Linked DNA regions of Drosophila melanogaster. The protein of the gene in region 1 interacts with the protein of each later gene in a pairwise test. Each region holds a gene or a part of one and is shown in the gene's direction. Other genes may lie near its edges. The genes, in order: Cpn, Tet and CG6337.

What was found.
Region 2: the proteins of Cpn (region 1) and Tet interact in a two-hybrid assay, tested with the Drosophila melanogaster proteins (one large-scale study listed by BioGRID).
Region 3: the proteins of Cpn (region 1) and CG6337 interact in a two-hybrid assay, tested with the Drosophila melanogaster proteins (one large-scale study listed by BioGRID).

The regions. Positions count from the first base shown.
Region 1 is NT_033777.3:12,163,750-12,169,276, reverse strand, and holds the start of Cpn (calphotin), read left to right. Parts: upstream 1-3,090; 5' UTR 3,091-3,156; intron 3,157-3,603; 5' UTR 3,604-3,726; coding exon 3,727-5,527. UniProt on the Drosophila melanogaster protein: Plays important roles in both rhabdomere development and in photoreceptor cell survival. Might function as a calcium-sequestering 'sponge' to regulate the amount of free cytoplasmic calcium. It binds 0.3 mole of Ca(2+) per mole of protein.
Region 2 is NT_037436.4:2,876,851-2,882,377, reverse strand, and holds the start of Tet (Ten-Eleven translocation (TET) family protein), read left to right. Parts: upstream 1-3,219; 5' UTR 3,220-3,845; intron 3,846-5,527. UniProt on the Drosophila melanogaster protein: Dioxygenase that specifically demethylates DNA methylated on the 6th position of adenine (N(6)-methyladenosine) DNA.
Region 3 is NT_033778.4:13,832,876-13,838,402, reverse strand, and holds CG6337 (uncharacterized protein), read left to right. Parts: upstream 1-3,306; 5' UTR 3,307-3,340; coding exon 3,341-3,436; intron 3,437-3,556; coding exon 3,557-4,483; 3' UTR 4,484-4,828; downstream 4,829-5,527. Other genes in the region: CtsL2 (cathepsin L2), read right to left, coding at 356-684.

The DNA.
Region 1 (5,527 bases):
AAAATGGAGTATATAAAAAGAAAAATGTAAAATATTTACTAACCATGCCCTCAAATCGTAAGTCTATTAAGCTGACAACTCAACTAGAAAACCCGTTCACATCCTTAAACAGATTAAACACTTATCACCAAGTGCTTTAAGTGTCAAGTCCTTGGAATTTTGCCACTATGGAAATTTTGAAAAATCATTAAAGTGGCTGGAGTATTTCTCAAAAGTTAATTGATCCAAATTGTTGTTTTGTTTTTTGTTTGTTCAATATTTCATATTTTACTTGCCATTGCTGTTGATACAGTGTGTACGTGCGTGCCATTCGATTTGTGTTTGTTATGTGCTTTGCATAATTTAACACTTTGCCTTAAAAACAATCAAATTGTCAAGTGTCAAAAGTTCGTGTCGGCCCAGAATATTCCTCCGCTCAACTGGGCTCTGTTTGTGCTGCCATGTAAATGTAAATAAAAATGCATTAAAAATGTAGCTGTAATTTACACACTCACACTTTCCAGGGAGGTGAAAATAGCCTGAAAAGTGGGTGGGGGTAGCGACCGTAAGTGGGTGCTTGTGTGCAATATTTTGCATTTGCCTGCCAGTTTTTCCGGTTTGCTCTGACCACAAAGTGTTGGCCATTAACCGAGCGCAGTCTGAGCCACCCGCTGGGCCATATCATGTTTATGCCGCACGCTTCGAGAATAAGAATGTTCATGGAAAGTGTCGGATCTACTAGTTTGCACGGAGAAGAGAGAAATGTTTAAACAATAATAATATATATATTTAATGAATATTTTCCTCTTTATTATTTAATTGATTTATAGTTTGCAGCATGCACTCCGCATAAACGCAGTAACAGACACTTTCCCAGGGAAGCGGAAAGGCAGGCTGACGCGTGTTAATTTGAATAAATTATTAAAGCACGTGATGAGCGCGACCTTTCAACCAATTGGGGCAACTACCAGCCATCACCCACACTACCGCCCCCACCAATCCCAATTGGATGGTCGAAAACACACCAACCAGCCCACCCCCCGCAAGCCAAGTGCAATTAAGCACGAAAAAACCAATCAAACTGGAAATAAATTGCGCCATAGTTGCAGCAGCCACACAGCGACCAGGGTTGCCATACGGCGCCGATTTTTGCGAATTTTTTTTGCCTAGCCAGCACTTTGTGTGCCCCTTCTGCGTGTGGGTGTTTTGGGTTTTTTGCGTTCGCCGGGGGTTTCCCTTTTTATTGTGGCCGCTGGGTGAAAATTGTTTGCATTGCATTCTCTGCTGATGCATGCGAATTGAGAAATATTTGCAATTTAGCAAAATACACCCGGAAGCGGCTCCGGATTGAAGCTTGAGCTCCTTTTGCCACATTTCGCAATTTCGATTTTCGCCCCGCATTTGTATTCATATTTGTATTTGGTTTTTCCAATCGCACACGGGCCCGACTTTCCACACTCTTACAGTGCGTGCAAAATGACGGCAATTAGGTGTATACGCTGCGCTGATTTATGTTTTTTTTTTTTTTTTGTAGTTGATCGCCTCACCTTCGAAAATAGCCAGGAATGCAATATCCATTGTTTCAGGGAATGGATTTCATCCGAGTATTGTTTTTCGGTATAAAACATTGTTTGAGAAATATTTGTAAAATATGACAAAAACTTCTATTCTATTGCTGGCAATTACAATTTGAGATCACTCATCAGTGACCACAGATTCGAAGAAAATCAAATGTATTTGTTGAGGTACGCAAACTCCTTCGCAGCTCAGATCAATTGTCGAGTTCAGTGATGCAGGAGGAGATAGAATAAAGTATAAATACAATTTGTATGCTTGATGTAATTTCATTTCCACTTATCTTGGTATTTTCTCTGCATTTTGCTTCATGCGATTGATTTATCGCACAGAAAATAATAGGCAGCCAATGTCTGTGCATCCTGTGAAAGGACTCGCTCTCGGCCTTCCAAGCATTCAATCCCTGAGCCGGGTTCAGTTTATATTCAAATGCTTACGCTTAAATGTCAATAATACGTGAAATTGAACTGCCAATTCAATCTTCACAACTACTCCGCATCGCTCCTCCACTTCTCCAGTGAAATCATTTCCATATAAGCGTTTTCCCATCTCGTCTATTTATATATATGTATGTATTTCTTTTCTTTTCGTTCGCAACTCTTTTTATTTTCCATCCTGCGAGAAAAATTCTTTCTGTTCATATGTGGAAAAACTATTTGCAAAAGTCTCAAGTGTGCTCGGTTCCCGGCCAGCAGAGGGGCAAGTGAGGCGAAGGTGTAGGTGGACGTGTTGGTGTTGGACTTTTTAAAACGACGCCTGCAAATTGTACGCAGATCACATTACACTTGCTCCAACGGACGGCATGTGCAACTGCCGGCTGCCTCTGTGGATTGCTTTACATTTGGCTGCACTTCCTACCCGGCATTCACTCGAAAAATTGAAAGATTTATTTCTTAGTTCTTTGCGATTACATTTCCACCGAGCTAATGTGTTCCGATCCAACGGCTACGTAGTGGCAGTTTGTCAACTGTCATTGCATCAGACATTGAATGGGCCACGATAGCAAATGGATTGTGGAGGGTCGGGTGAGGGCGGGGCAGTGCGGGGCAGCGCGGGAACCTGTCGCATTTTGTTGACAACTACATTGCAAATACGGCAAAGTAATCAGTATTGTGTAAATAACCAGTTATGTGTCTGCGAGTGCAGCTGACAAAGCGAGTGGTAAGCGATATGCACTGGATCGCGAATAAATTCTTGAAAGCGTTTCCCCGATTTATCTACCCGATGCATTTGGCAAGATGCGAACGGAATCGATAATCGAATAATATGCGAATATCACTCATACGCAGTGGTGGGCGCCAACGCATGTAGCACACTTTTCAGCGCCAAATGTTTCCTCGTGCGAGCCGGAACAAATTTAATATGTGGCTAAGGTCAGCTGATAAGCACCTTAGTGTCTGGGAATTGGAAAAACGCAAAAAGCACTTGAAACTATGCGTATACTTTCTGCGCTCAATGGGCAGTTGTCGGACTTCTGACCGAAGGTAAACCAATGAAAAGAGGTAAAAATGTCCAAGAAAACTGAGTCAACGGGCCAGTTAAACACCGTTTTTCTCATCGGCAAGTCGGTCGCTGTTTAAAACTATTCAACAAATTAAATTGGTTAATAATATTGAAAATATTCAAAAGGATTGACTTACCTAAGAGGCAGTTCCTAATAGTTGACCATTTCATTGCTGACCGCTTATTTTCGAATTTTTGAACGAAATTGTGCAAGTGCCTTGTTTTCTCTTACATAATTTAGCAACTACAGTTTTGTAAAAGAAAAATATATTTCGAATAGACGTCAGAAGCAAGAGACTAGTTAACTCAATTGCTCTTACTTTTACTTCTCATGTAGTGAAGACAATTCTAATCTCATTTAATCAATGTAATTTTATTGTATAGATATTTGAATCAGTATTTTCCGGAGAACTTTTATTCTTATTTTTCTCATTCTTACGTGGTTTCTCATCGATTTAATTTTATTTAAGACAATGGCCTAAATCATGGTCAGATCCAGCCTTGCCATGTCTCATGTTTTTCTCGTTTTCATTCCTCTGTTTTCAGTTGTCTTCTGACCATGAAAAGCTGGCCATGAAACATTTTTGCAACTAAGCATTGGACAAGGCACAATCCGCCCAAAAGGAAAAAACGGATTAACTTTTATGTGAAAGTGGGCAAAGGATAGACATGGAACCAGGAACCATTCCATCGCCTGTTTCAGCACCAGTTGCTGCGCCTGTGACGCCATCAGCAGTGGCTGCCCCTGTCCAAGTAGTAAGTCCTGCGGCAGTGGCTCCCGCACCAGCGGCACCGATTGCAGTCACTCCAGTTGCTCCACCGCCCACCCTTGCAAGTGTGCAACCGGCAACAGTTACTATTCCAGCTCCAGCTCCAATTGCTGCCGCATCCGTCGCTCCTGTCGCATCTGTGGCGCCTCCAGTTGTTGCAGCTCCAACTCCGCCGGCAGCAAGTCCAGTTTCAACACCACCCGTTGCTGTTGCTCAGATTCCGGTCGCTGTTTCAGCACCAGTGGCACCTCCCGTTGCTGCAACACCCACTCCTGTTGCCCCAATTCCTGTAGCTGCGCCTGTGATAGCGACACCACCTGTTGCTGCCTCTGCCCCCACTCCGGCTGCCGTGACTCCCGTTGTTTCGCCTGTGATCGCCACACCACCTGTGGTTCCCGCTAACACCACGGTTCCCGTTGCAGCACCTGTAGCTGCTGTACCAGCTGCTGTTCCTGTTGTTGCCCCAGTTCTTGCGCCTGCCGTTGCTCCTGCAGTTGCCCCCGTCGTCGCCGAGACTCCAGCTCCACCACCTGTTGCTGAGATTCCGGTTGCAACCATACCGGAGTGCGTTGCACCTCTCATCCCCGAGGTTTCCGTCGTGGCAACGAAACCACTAGCTGCAGCTGAGCCAGTGGTCGTTGCTCCACCGGCTACTGAAACCCCAGTCGTTGCTCCGGCTGCAGCTTCCCCCCATGTGTCGGTTGCACCAGCTGTGGAGACCGCAGTGGTCGCTCCTGTAAGTGCTTCGACTGAGCCCCCGGTAGCTGCTGCGACTCTAACAACTGCACCAGAAACGCCAGCCCTTGCTCCAGTCGTTGCCGAGTCCCAAGTTGCTGCGAATACTGTTGTAGCTACACCTCCTACTCCAGCCCCAGAGCCAGAAACCATTGCACCACCTGTTGTTGCAGAAACCCCAGAAGTTGCTTCAGTTGCTGTTGCTGAGACAACACCACCCGTTGTACCTCCTGTGGCCGCAGAATCAATACCAGCGCCAGTCGTTGCCACGACACCAGTTCCTGCAACACTAGCAGTAACGGATCCGGATGTCACTGCATCTGCTGTTCCCGAATTACCTCCGGTGATCGCTCCATCACCCGTTCCTAGTGCTGTTGCTGAAACTCCTGTCGACTTAGCGCCACCTGTTCTCCCTCCTGTGGCTGCCGAACCTGTACCAGCTGTAGTGGCTGAAGAAACTCCTGAGACACCAGCACCAGCATCAGCACCAGTGACCATAGCAGCTTTAGATATACCAGAAGTTGCTCCTGTGATCGCCGCACCCTCTGATGCACCTGCTGAAGCTCCGTCTGCCGCTGCTCCCATCGTTTCTACTCCACCAACTACGGCTTCTGTTCCCGAGACCACGGCACCACCTGCGGCAGTGCCTACGGAACCTATCGATGTTTCTGTACTATCAGAAGCTGCCATTGAAACGCCAGTTGCACCGCCTGTCGAAGTTACAACAGAAGTTGCAGTTGCAGACGTTGCTCCACCTGAGGCAGCTGCGGATTTAATAATCGAGCCTGTGGAACCACCAGCTCCTATTCCGGATTTATTAGAACAAACTACATCCGTGCCAGCTGTTGAAGCTGCAGAATCAACATCTTCACCAATACCAGAGACCTCATTACCGCCGCCAAATGAAGCAGTTGCCTCTCCAGAAGTGGCTGTCGCTCCAATTACAGCTCCAGAGCCCATACCTG
Region 2 (5,527 bases), on another chromosome or scaffold:
TATTGTTCCAATACGCAGTCGAAAACCAGGTAAAAAGGTATTGACAAATCAGGTAAGGATAAGTCCGCAAAACAAAACATATCCAACTCACATGCTATGTAAAGGTGAAACTGTTGCAATTAGGGTTTAAGGGGAAAATTATAAAAATAAGTTTGCAATACAGCAAATTCGAATGTTTTGTTAAATTAATCCATTTCATCATCATTGAAATTAATATAAAATTCATGTTCCATAAACAAATATCTAAGCACATCGAACTATTATTTTCTATAAAATGAGCCAGCTCCAAATTTGATTTTGCCAGTGAAACTTTTTGGGTTGCAGGCTCCTCTAAGGACGGTCAATATCCATATTGCCCCCTACCCACCCCTCTCCTTTTAAAATCCCTTGAAAACCCAACAACTACAACAAGAACAACAGCAACAGCAGTGAGCAGCTGAAGTTTCTGGCAGTCGAACAACACCAGTAGAGGCGGTCAGAAAGAGAGGGCATCACTGGCGGCTGCTTGGCAACCGAATCGCGAGTGAAAGAGATGTCCTGCTGATGACGAGCAGTGCAGAATGCGGCATCAAAAGCAACAACAGCAACAACAAGTCAGAAGCAGCAACAATGCAGCGGCAGCGCTGCCAGCTTAGGCGTTGTTGCTGTTGTTGTGCGTTGTGTATAAAAATTTAACATCTGCTCCTTTCATGATTTCAGTTTCGGAAAACTCAAAACTCGTACAACAACGAGGGCTGTAATGGCACAAATAAAAATATATATGTATGCATCTGTGCGGAGTGTCTATCCCTCTCTTTCGCTCCGGGTATGCCCCTCTCTTTCTAGCGGCTTGTTGTTGCTGTTAATGCATTTGGCTTGCTTTACTCGTATTACGTGTGCATTTGCCACTCCGAACTAAAAAAAAAAAAAAAAACGAAGAAAACATTGAGATACTCGGATGCTGAGATACCGAGATACTCTGGAAATGCTCCTTTGGAGCTGTAAGTTGATAAAAAACCGGCGGCCAACTGGCGGATTTTAAACGGAATGAAATAAATTAAAACGTGGCGAGGAAATGCAGCCACAGGATGCTGTAGTCCTGCTGGGTGTGCCATGCATCTTATGGTGCATTCAACTTCAGCCAGTGATTTTCACTCTTCTTCAGCGTTTGCCCTTGGAGAAGTTAGTCTGAATACACGCTGGGTACATGGAATCGATCTAGGAGATGGCTGCACTTGAAGTTGTAGTTAAAAAATAAGCTAAATTTTATTTTAATATTCTTATAATCAACCTTATTGGCTAACATATCTCAACGTGCATTCGTTCCTACACATTTGCAAGCATTTTATATGATTAAAAGGTATACATACTTGAAATTGGCTAATAAATCTTACCCCTGTTTTCAGTGTATTACATTTATCATTTTTTTTTTTTTTTTTTTTTAATATTTTATTTTTCTATTCATGTTCTGTGCGCACATTTCATTCATTTTTCAAATACTTCTGCAGCACCAACTGTCAGATACATTTCTGGTTTCCTTTGCCGCACGTCTTTTTATTGTGGCTGCTTGCAGTGTGAATGTCCTTTGCTGTCCTCACAAAGGACACGCAAAAGCCAAATAAGAGCGAAAAAAGTAGAAAAAAACGCAAAGAGCGGAATGCAGAAGAACGAAGAGAGACTTGCAGCAGCTTCGAGTGCAGAAAACCCAACTATGAAGAACTTGTCTGCGGATCGTGAACTTAAGAACTATCTAAGAGGAGAAAAGGCCGGCTGCATTTTGTTGTTTGTGCAGATGTTTCTTCGAGGTTCCTCGAGGGATTTTATGGGTATGCGTTGCGTATGGGACAGGTCAGTGTTCGGAGGATTCGGATTCAGATTGAGATTCGGTTCCGGAGGATTCGAAGTCGGTTAAGGGTTGTGCCCCTAGGTTGAATGATTTTCCATTACGCAATGCAAATAGACAGCAGCGTTCCGCGTACTCGCTTTGTTTTGTTATTTTCTCTGTCAGCGCCAGGCAACAATGCAACTGTCAAGGTTTCCATTTTCCGCCGTGGATTGCTCTCTATGAAATGGCGAAAAAATGGCAGCTCCACTAATAGTTGGCATGAAACGAGGTTGCAACAGGACCGCCACGAGAAAAAAGTGAAATGAAATCAACCGCCCCCGCTCTTTGCGCAAAAGTAAAAAAGGGGCAAAACATGGCAGGCAAATTGTACCAAAATCCCGCAACGGCAGCCAGTGCAATGCCAGGATATATGGCACATGCCCACAAGGTCCTGCCTCCGTGTCCTGCGTCCAGCGCAGCAGTGGCAGCAACAGCACCGCAGCAACGTCCACGGCACCGCAGCAACAGCAGCGGGAAAGTAAAACTTATTCGGCTGGTCGAACTGCGAATGCCCTGAATTTCGAAACACATTTTGCGAGCTTATCTATTCTGATAAAATTGTAAATAAATCAATAAACTATACGCCAATTACCATATAATGCATGCTTGAATTCAATGTGCTTAATTGCTAAGTAAGCTAAGTAAGCTCCTTGGTTAGGGTATCAAAACAAAGGCAGCAGAAAATATCTCGTAGCGCACATAGATTGCAAGTTCGCATTGTGAGCGCGAAACTAGGGAAAAAAATTTTTAATTGGAACAACAACTGTACAGCGGCGCAGCAGCAGCAACAACAACAAAAGCGCACTTCAAACGCCGCATGTTCGTATCCGTGTCTTGTTGCAGCTGTGTGTGTGTGTGTGTGTGCTTGTGTGTTAATGAAAGAGAGAGGATGCAGCCGTAAATGTAACTGTGTGCGTGCGGCTGTGTGTTTGTGTGTGTGTGCCAGGACTCTCGAGCCAAAAGTTGCAGGCGCAACAGCAACAAGCAGCAGTTCGAAGTTAAATATTTAAGAATTTACAAAACTTTTTAGGGAACATAAAAATAAATACAAATTTCAAAACGAAAGAATCTTGCTCTTCATCTTTTAATGATGGTCAAACTGAAAAATAATATATTTTACGAATGACTAATAAGCACAAAAATAAATTAAAAATCATTTCTTAAAAATGCTTAAGTATTGAATGAATTATACAATATAAAACCGCTAGTTAAGAGAATTCGGTCGTCATGCTTGTTGTATTCTTAAGTTCGAGTGGAGCCCGCATTGGTTCGATGCGAACATGAACCTGTTCGCTTCGAGCACGAACTTGTTCGATACATTTTATGTTTGCTCCTTCATTTTCATTTTCATTTTCAGTTCAGTTAGTTCAGTTGTTGTGTATCCTTCGGGTGAAAAGTTTCCTACAAAACACGGACTTTTGCACCGCCGCCGCCGTTCGAGCGCTAGAAACGAGTGCGAGTGCGTGTGAGACTTACTAGCTAACTAACTGATTCTGATTCTGATTTTCGGGAATATACTATCCCTTCGGTGTGGGTGTGATCGAGTTCAAGGACTCGCGACTAACTTGTTCCAGTTTCGAAAACAGGCAGCCCCAAATAATGTGACCAATGTGACCAGTGAATTAGAATATCCAAGAGCAAAACAAAATCAAGAACTCCCGCAGATGCCGCACTTGCAGCTCCAAGTTCTTCAGCTTTTCATCCAAGTCCCGGTTTAATTTGCAGCTCCAGTTTCGCGCTCGGTTCTCTGGGTTTCCCTGCAATTTCCGCGATTTCCTTCTTTTGTTCCCTTCGTTCCGTTTTCGCGTCGCGGTTTGTTATTGTCAACTTTCGTTTTCGTGCGGTTTTTCGCGGCTTTTCTAACGGTCCAACGACGGTCGGCAAATGGATAGTGAAACTGGCTTGGATTTCCAATAGCTTCTAAGTACTCAACATTTTCCGAGGAAAAAAACTCGTGAAAGGACATGGATTAACAACTAAGGTTTGTAGTAGGGATTTAACAATATACATATATTTAAGTATATATAAATCGGGATGCTTTATGTATACCTTTTATCTATATATAACTATTCTGCGTATATAATCATTTTATTTGTGGTACCAAAGAAAATTAAATAAATGGTTTTTTTTTTTCATTAATTAAGCATAGCCATCAAACAAAAAGACAAATAGCCGCATACAGAACATAACTAACTCTTTGAAAACGAATCGTAAGGAACGTTTCCAAGAAACCAAACAGAATGGCCATATCCCTTTCATAAAACCGACTCCAATTAATAAAGCCAATTGAGCAAATGTATAAAAATGTTGAGCTCCAATCAAATATAAAACTCTACGCTTTTGTTCCTAATCCCTCAATTAAACTCACCTCTCGACCGAAAGCCAAAGAAAAACAAATTTCCAATTGAAATTTGCATTTGGGGCACAGGAAATACTTTCCAAGCGTAAACATGTAAACAAAGAGATAACAATTGTTATTGGTCATCCGAGGATCAAATTACAATAAGTGCAAGCTCAAAGAAGACCCAAAAAACAAAATCACAATCACCTAAGCAGGCAATTTCAGCGAGCTTTATTTGTGCAAGACAAATAAACAAAATAAAATAATAATATTACAGTAAAGGCAGAGGCTTCTCTTTTTGGACCGCAAACACTTATGGCAATGAGTAATGACTTTTAAAAGAAGAACTGTTTCTGATAGATACATTTTGCGTTTGTCTTAGCGCCAACTTAAATTAAAAAGCAGCGGGCTCTGAACTTCTTCTGGTTGTGAAGAGTTGAGCCGAGGCCCTGAAAACGTGCCAGAAAGCGACACACAGAGATACAAAGATACAGATACTCGTAACTAACAGTAACGTGCGTACATCTTCAAGATACTTTTTGGCGCGCTCAGAACAGAAGCGCCGAAAACAGAAAATAAAACAAGGAGAGTACATGGGAACGAGAAGCACAACAGAAAGCGAAAAGCTAAGAACACAGAAGGAGATACTTGTGCTCCTACAAGATACAGCTACAGATACAGATACATGGCAATAAAGAGAATTTAAAGAAAGATAAATAATAAAACCAAACAAATTGAGGCGCAGGCCGCGAAAGAAGTTCAAGTTCAGCGAATGTATCTCCGTGCCAGTATCTGTATCTGTTGGATGCAATTTGTCGGCCGCCTGCAAGTTTATTACCGTCTTACCCCCAATGAATCTATATATAGCTGCCATATTTTGTTTACAATTTTCCGCCGCCCACGATTCATTCATAAAACACATCAGCCCAAAATAAAAGTTGGCAAAAGGACACGCAGGCAAATTAAGGCTTTGACCTAGAGAAAAATAAACAACACCCAGGATATAACCCCTGCCCCCGTCCTCCCCCCCTCCACACACTCGTTAACAGTAACGTGCGTGACTTTGAAAGCAGGCAAGGCAAATGACAAACTCGTAAATCTCAACACACTCACGGGAAGTGGGTGGTGCGTTTTTTTTTTTGGGATGTGGGTGAAAATGCGAGGCATAAGTGCCCCTACTCCCATTCATATACGCTTAATACTCAGCCGCGTATGCCTGTCCATGGACTCCTTGCATGGCTTCATTGGGCCCCACAGCACGTTTCATTTCATCCACACCTGCACCGCCGCACCACTCCGCGCACAACCCATCCCCACACCCA
Region 3 (5,527 bases), on another chromosome or scaffold:
TTTAAATGTTATTCATAATGTTCTTAAATGTATGACAAACAACCGATAAGTTATGAAACATTTGTTATGGAGCTTCGTCGTAATAAATAAGTTCGATATGGAAGGGTTTTGTTTGTTTCCACCCATTTGGTTATAGTTTTCGGGAAACCACAAACCTATGGTCGGAATATTTGATCAATTCTGATTTCTTGATTAGCATAACCGGGAAACCAATCGGCACCTACGTAACGTTACAAATCATATGGACGACGATACCGAAACCCGTTTGAAAGTTATAAGCTGGGTGATAATTCGTTTATGGCCAAAAAGGGGACTTCCCCCGAGCTCTAGATATGCGTAAGATGGTGCTACTTACTCGCCAAATTCGGAGATTTTGGAGCCCAGCAAGGTGGCTATCTCCTTTCTGGTCATGTCGGCCAGCGTATTGACGCCCAGCCGGAATCCGGACACGCCGTTGTCGGCGTTCTTATTGCTCAGCGTGATCAGCGACATCTTGGCCGCGAAGATGCTCTCGCGATAGACTCGCTCCTCATCCGAGTACACCTTGCCCGTCTGCCGGAGGAAGTCGTCGAAGTTTTGCACATCGCAGAGCTTGGGAAACGACTGCAGTTGCTGCAATGACACAGCACCCAGCAGGGCCAGTCCCAGCGTCATCTGCAGCCACATCGTTGAGCACATCCGCATCTGGAACGGTGGACAGCAGAGCGAGTGGAAAGCGTTAGGTAACCACTTGGCCAATACATAGTTACACCATCCCATCCCATCTCATCGCATCCCGCGACCCCTTTTCATGCCCCTTTTCTTGCCACATCTATCTGTCAACGTTAATCACTTGGCCGCAACTCGACCCGTTCATTCACCTCCAATCGAACCAACCTGCCGTGCAGATCGTGAAGTTTCCTATAAGTGGAGCCGCTATAAATATTTATTTATGGACATATTAAAAGCAACGTTGCTTCCTAGAAAATCTGCACAATTTGAAAACAGGCCACACTCAAAATCTATGCGTTTATTCGATATTAAAATGTTTATCCAGTAGATACTTTTTATTGGTAAATATTCAGTGGAGTGTCTTCATTGACATAAGAAATGATGTTATGTCTTTTTGAGTAATTTGAGTAAGTACAATGTTTGGCAAAACCAAAATAAAACAAAGAAACTAATAAATTGTTTGTTTAACAAGCTTGGTTTTGAAGAAACTAAACCGTTTAATGATCGCCTATGCAGAAATCAACATTGTTTCTAAGACAATCAAAAACATAATGATCGATTAAACGAATAAAAAACTAATTATTATTGGTTTTTTCTATCACGCTGACTATCCGCTTCTGTCAGCAATCGCGTTAATGGGTAATTAATCATGCGCTGTCTTAATTTCTCAACTTTATTCGATCTTACCAAATTAAATAGACTTTTGAAACTAGCAGAGCATTCGCTGTTCGTATTTCCGGTCTGTTTTACGAATTCGATCACCGATGAGACGTGAATAATTACTGGGTGAATGAGCTAATTTGCATATGCTTAGCATAATTACATTAGTGCAAGCATTCGATTCGGATGAATTTCGAAATGTATGAATGATTTCGCGGCTTCGTCTCTCCTTTTATTTCCTCAGCTCCCAAATTGGCTCCATCGAGGGCCCAAATAAATCAAAATCAAATCTAGATTAGGCAACCGCAGGCTAAGATTTCACTTTCGTTGCCATAAAATACTGATCACATGCTGTGCCCGGTGAAAGGCGATGGATTCCCCTGTTTAAAATCAAATTTCGAGTCGAATGTAAGCAATTGCAGTTCTCTTGTCTTCGACGGACCATTATGAATCGAAAAATAACAACACACACGACACAATATGTTGAAAAGATCGACTTAATCACCTTTTATGGATATCTGGGAATGATATGTTCAAAACACCTTCCGCGTTCACAAATCACAAAACTATTCGAAGATGCTGAAGACTCGAAGACCGGCGAGATTATAAGCGGCGCTCGACCCGCACACCTTGGTTTTATAGAGTCTGGAGCTGGACCGTGGGACATATGGCCAAAACTGGATGGGCCACCAATTTGAAACTTTTGGAATACCGACAAGAGCATATTCATCTTCATTTCGACGGGCTATCTGGTTTATGGGTCTATAGCTGTCTCCATTATATGCATGCTTAGTAATTGTCGATTGCCTAATGTGTTGGTGGCTATAACAACGCATATTAACTCATTTGAAACAAAAGAGAAAATAGTCAAACATGTTTTTAAATAGTTAATAATTGATGAGATCGAAGTCACAGTTGTAGCGCCTATAGGATTACAAATTTCAATGCAGCAAGCAAAGTTTTAGGAAAGTTTTTAAAGCGTCTCTAAGTAGTTTGTACTATTATATCCCTTGTAAATAAATAACACTTTGATTTTTATGTAAATAATACAATTACAGAATGATAAAGATGCAGACGGATGAATAATGGTCTCGACTTTCAATAACTATAAATTGAAATTGAACCATGAAGAGATTGATTAGTGGCCAATTTATTTGCATTTCAATTAACAGATTCGTGGAATCTGAATTTGTTGTTGCGTCTACTAAAAAGTTCATTGACTGCTGAAATCCCTTATGGACTTACCTACATATTTGCAAAATTTCAAGATGATCCCTCATTACTACTTCGAATATATACTACCTGTAGTATATGCTAGACTACCGCAATGGAAATTACCAAACAACTCACTTAGCACTTGGTTTACAGCAATTTGGCCAAGTCTTCCAACGGGCCTATCTATCTATCTGTCTATGTATCTTTCCATCTACGTATCTATCTATCAACGCTGTTGCAACTTTTATGGGCGCCACAAAGTATGACTGTGATTAATCATGCCTGCGCTGAAGACAAAACCTGAAGACTAAACGATAAGTTGGCATTAGAGGGGCGTTTACGATGCTCCATGGGCATATGGGCTTGGGTGTTTTTTTCTGAACTGGGCCAGTGGGGATTTCGAATTAACAGAGATACGAGAACCCACCGCCGAATCGCAACGATACGAAACGGGGCATTTGACAAGTTTATTGGGCAAACAAAGCGCACCCCGACTTTTCCTACCAACGTCGGCTTATCGAGGAGACCCAACCCGGAATATGAATACTACGGATAGTACGTTTGAGTGCTGCTGGCCAAGTGCGAATTCAAGGCCTCGTAGAAATCTACGAGTATTTGCACTTTTCTTGCGAAAGTAAGTCGCTTTGGTAAACTTCTATTTGCGTTTGCAATCAGAAGGAGAGTTTGCCGGTGCCTATAAAAGATCGTTCCATGGTTCTGGCGGCATTAGTTGGTGCGGATTTGGGTTTTCGTCATGTTCAAGTTGCTACTTTGCTGCCTTCTACTAACCATCGACAGTGGATGGGCCTTTAATCATGGCCAGGATCTAGTGGACTTTCAAACTTACGAGGTATGTGAGTCATCAAGAAAACAAAGTCTGGATGGGATTTAATTAGAAATTATATCTTGTATCTTATGGCATTGAAAAGGATTGTATTGAGTAATGGAATTCAAATCTTTCCATTTACAGGACAATTTCAACAAGACCTATGCCTCAACTTCGGCTCGCAACTTCGCCAACTACTACTTCATCTACAACCGCAACCAGGTGGCGCAGCACAATGCCCAGGCCGATAGGAATCGCACCACCTACCGCGAGGCAGTGAATCAGTTCTCGGACATCCGGCTCATCCAGTTCGCAGCCCTGCTGCCCAAAGCCGTGAATACGGTGACCTCGGCGGCCAGTGATCCACCGGCCAGTCAAGCGGCATCTGCCAGCTTTGACATTATCACGGATTTCGGACTCACCGTGGCGGTGGAGGATCAGGGCGTGAACTGCAGCAGTAGTTGGGCCTATGCCACCGCCAAGGCCGTGGAGATCATGAATGCCGTGCAGACAGCCAATCCTCTGCCCTCGTCCTTGTCCGCCCAGCAGCTGCTGGACTGTGCGGGCATGGGCACCGGATGCAGCACCCAGACGCCCCTGGCTGCCCTCAACTATCTCACCCAGCTGACAGATGCGTATCTCTATCCGGAGGTGGACTATCCGAATAACAATAGCCTGAAAACGCCGGGTATGTGCCAGCCCCCATCCTCTGTGTCAGTGGGCGTGAAGTTGGCCGGCTATTCCACGGTGGCCGACAACGATGATGCCGCCGTAATGCGTTACGTATCGAATGGATTCCCCGTCATAGTCGAGTACAATCCGGCTACCTTTGGATTCATGCAGTACTCCAGTGGCGTCTATGTCCAGGAGACGCGTGCCCTGACCAATCCAAAGAGCTCACAGTTCCTGGTGGTCGTGGGCTACGATCACGACGTGGACTCCAATCTGGACTACTGGCGCTGCCTGAACTCCTTCGGCGACACGTGGGGCGAGGAGGGTTACATCAGGATCGTGCGCAGGTCCAATCAGCCCATTGCCAAGAATGCCGTCTTTCCCAGTGCGCTTGCCTAAGAAGGATTCCGATTTGACCTTATTTCAAGTTAATAAACTTAAGTTTTATGTGTAAATTTTTATATGATGATTTTGTTTCGGATTCAGTAGATGCTGTAAGTTCTTTAAAAAAACTTAATGCTAGTAAGCAATACTATTATTATTATTATAGACGCATTATCTTTAAATCAACTAGAATTCGAGTAACAGATTCGGGAATATCTATAATAACACTATGATGATACCTTAAGAGTGTGCCTATCTATATCTATGATAGTTCATAGAATAGAAGAATAGTAATAGAACCATCCAAGAAATAGATTTGGGAATATCTCAAATAAAGCTAAGATAATTCATCGAGATCTTGAATATTACATAAAGAGTAATCTTGAAAAAAAATCCCCCGTCTTCTACCAAAAAGTATCGTTTGGTTTTTTGTTGTGAAAGCTTACAGCTTTTTTGTCTCCATTTATTGAATTTACCATTTTATTTAGTTTATTTATTGATTTTTCATCTACAAGCGGAGCTTTACAGACTTAAATGCTAAAAATTAACAAGTTCACTTTATTTTCTTTTCTTTTCTTGTTTTTCGCATCTTTGATCTGCTTATGGATTTTATACTATTATCTTTGCAGTGTTTTCTTTTTCTGTTATGTTTCTCTTGCATAATAAATAAGTTTCCCATTTTGTTGCTATCCGTGTTGCTGTGATATAAAAACGAAAGGAAATTATATAGATATATATAATATTTAGGTATTATATTTATGGTTATAGAATATTCGACTCAGCCAGCGCAGACAAAAGCTTCTTTTTTTTGGTGTGTGTTCTTTCTGTAGATTTCTTAATCTTAGTTCTCGTAAATTTTTTAAGTTTCAGTAACTTGTTTGGAAACGTTGTTATTATAAATACTTCTCGTTATTATATTTCAATTGCGTTAAATAATTTGAAATATATGTATGTACGTTGTGTTTGCATTTTGTTTTGTTTTAGTTTAGGTTTTTAGTTTTTAGTTTTTATTTTTGGTTTAGAATGTCTTCCCGTCTTCTTGTGAAGCAAAGCTCAATG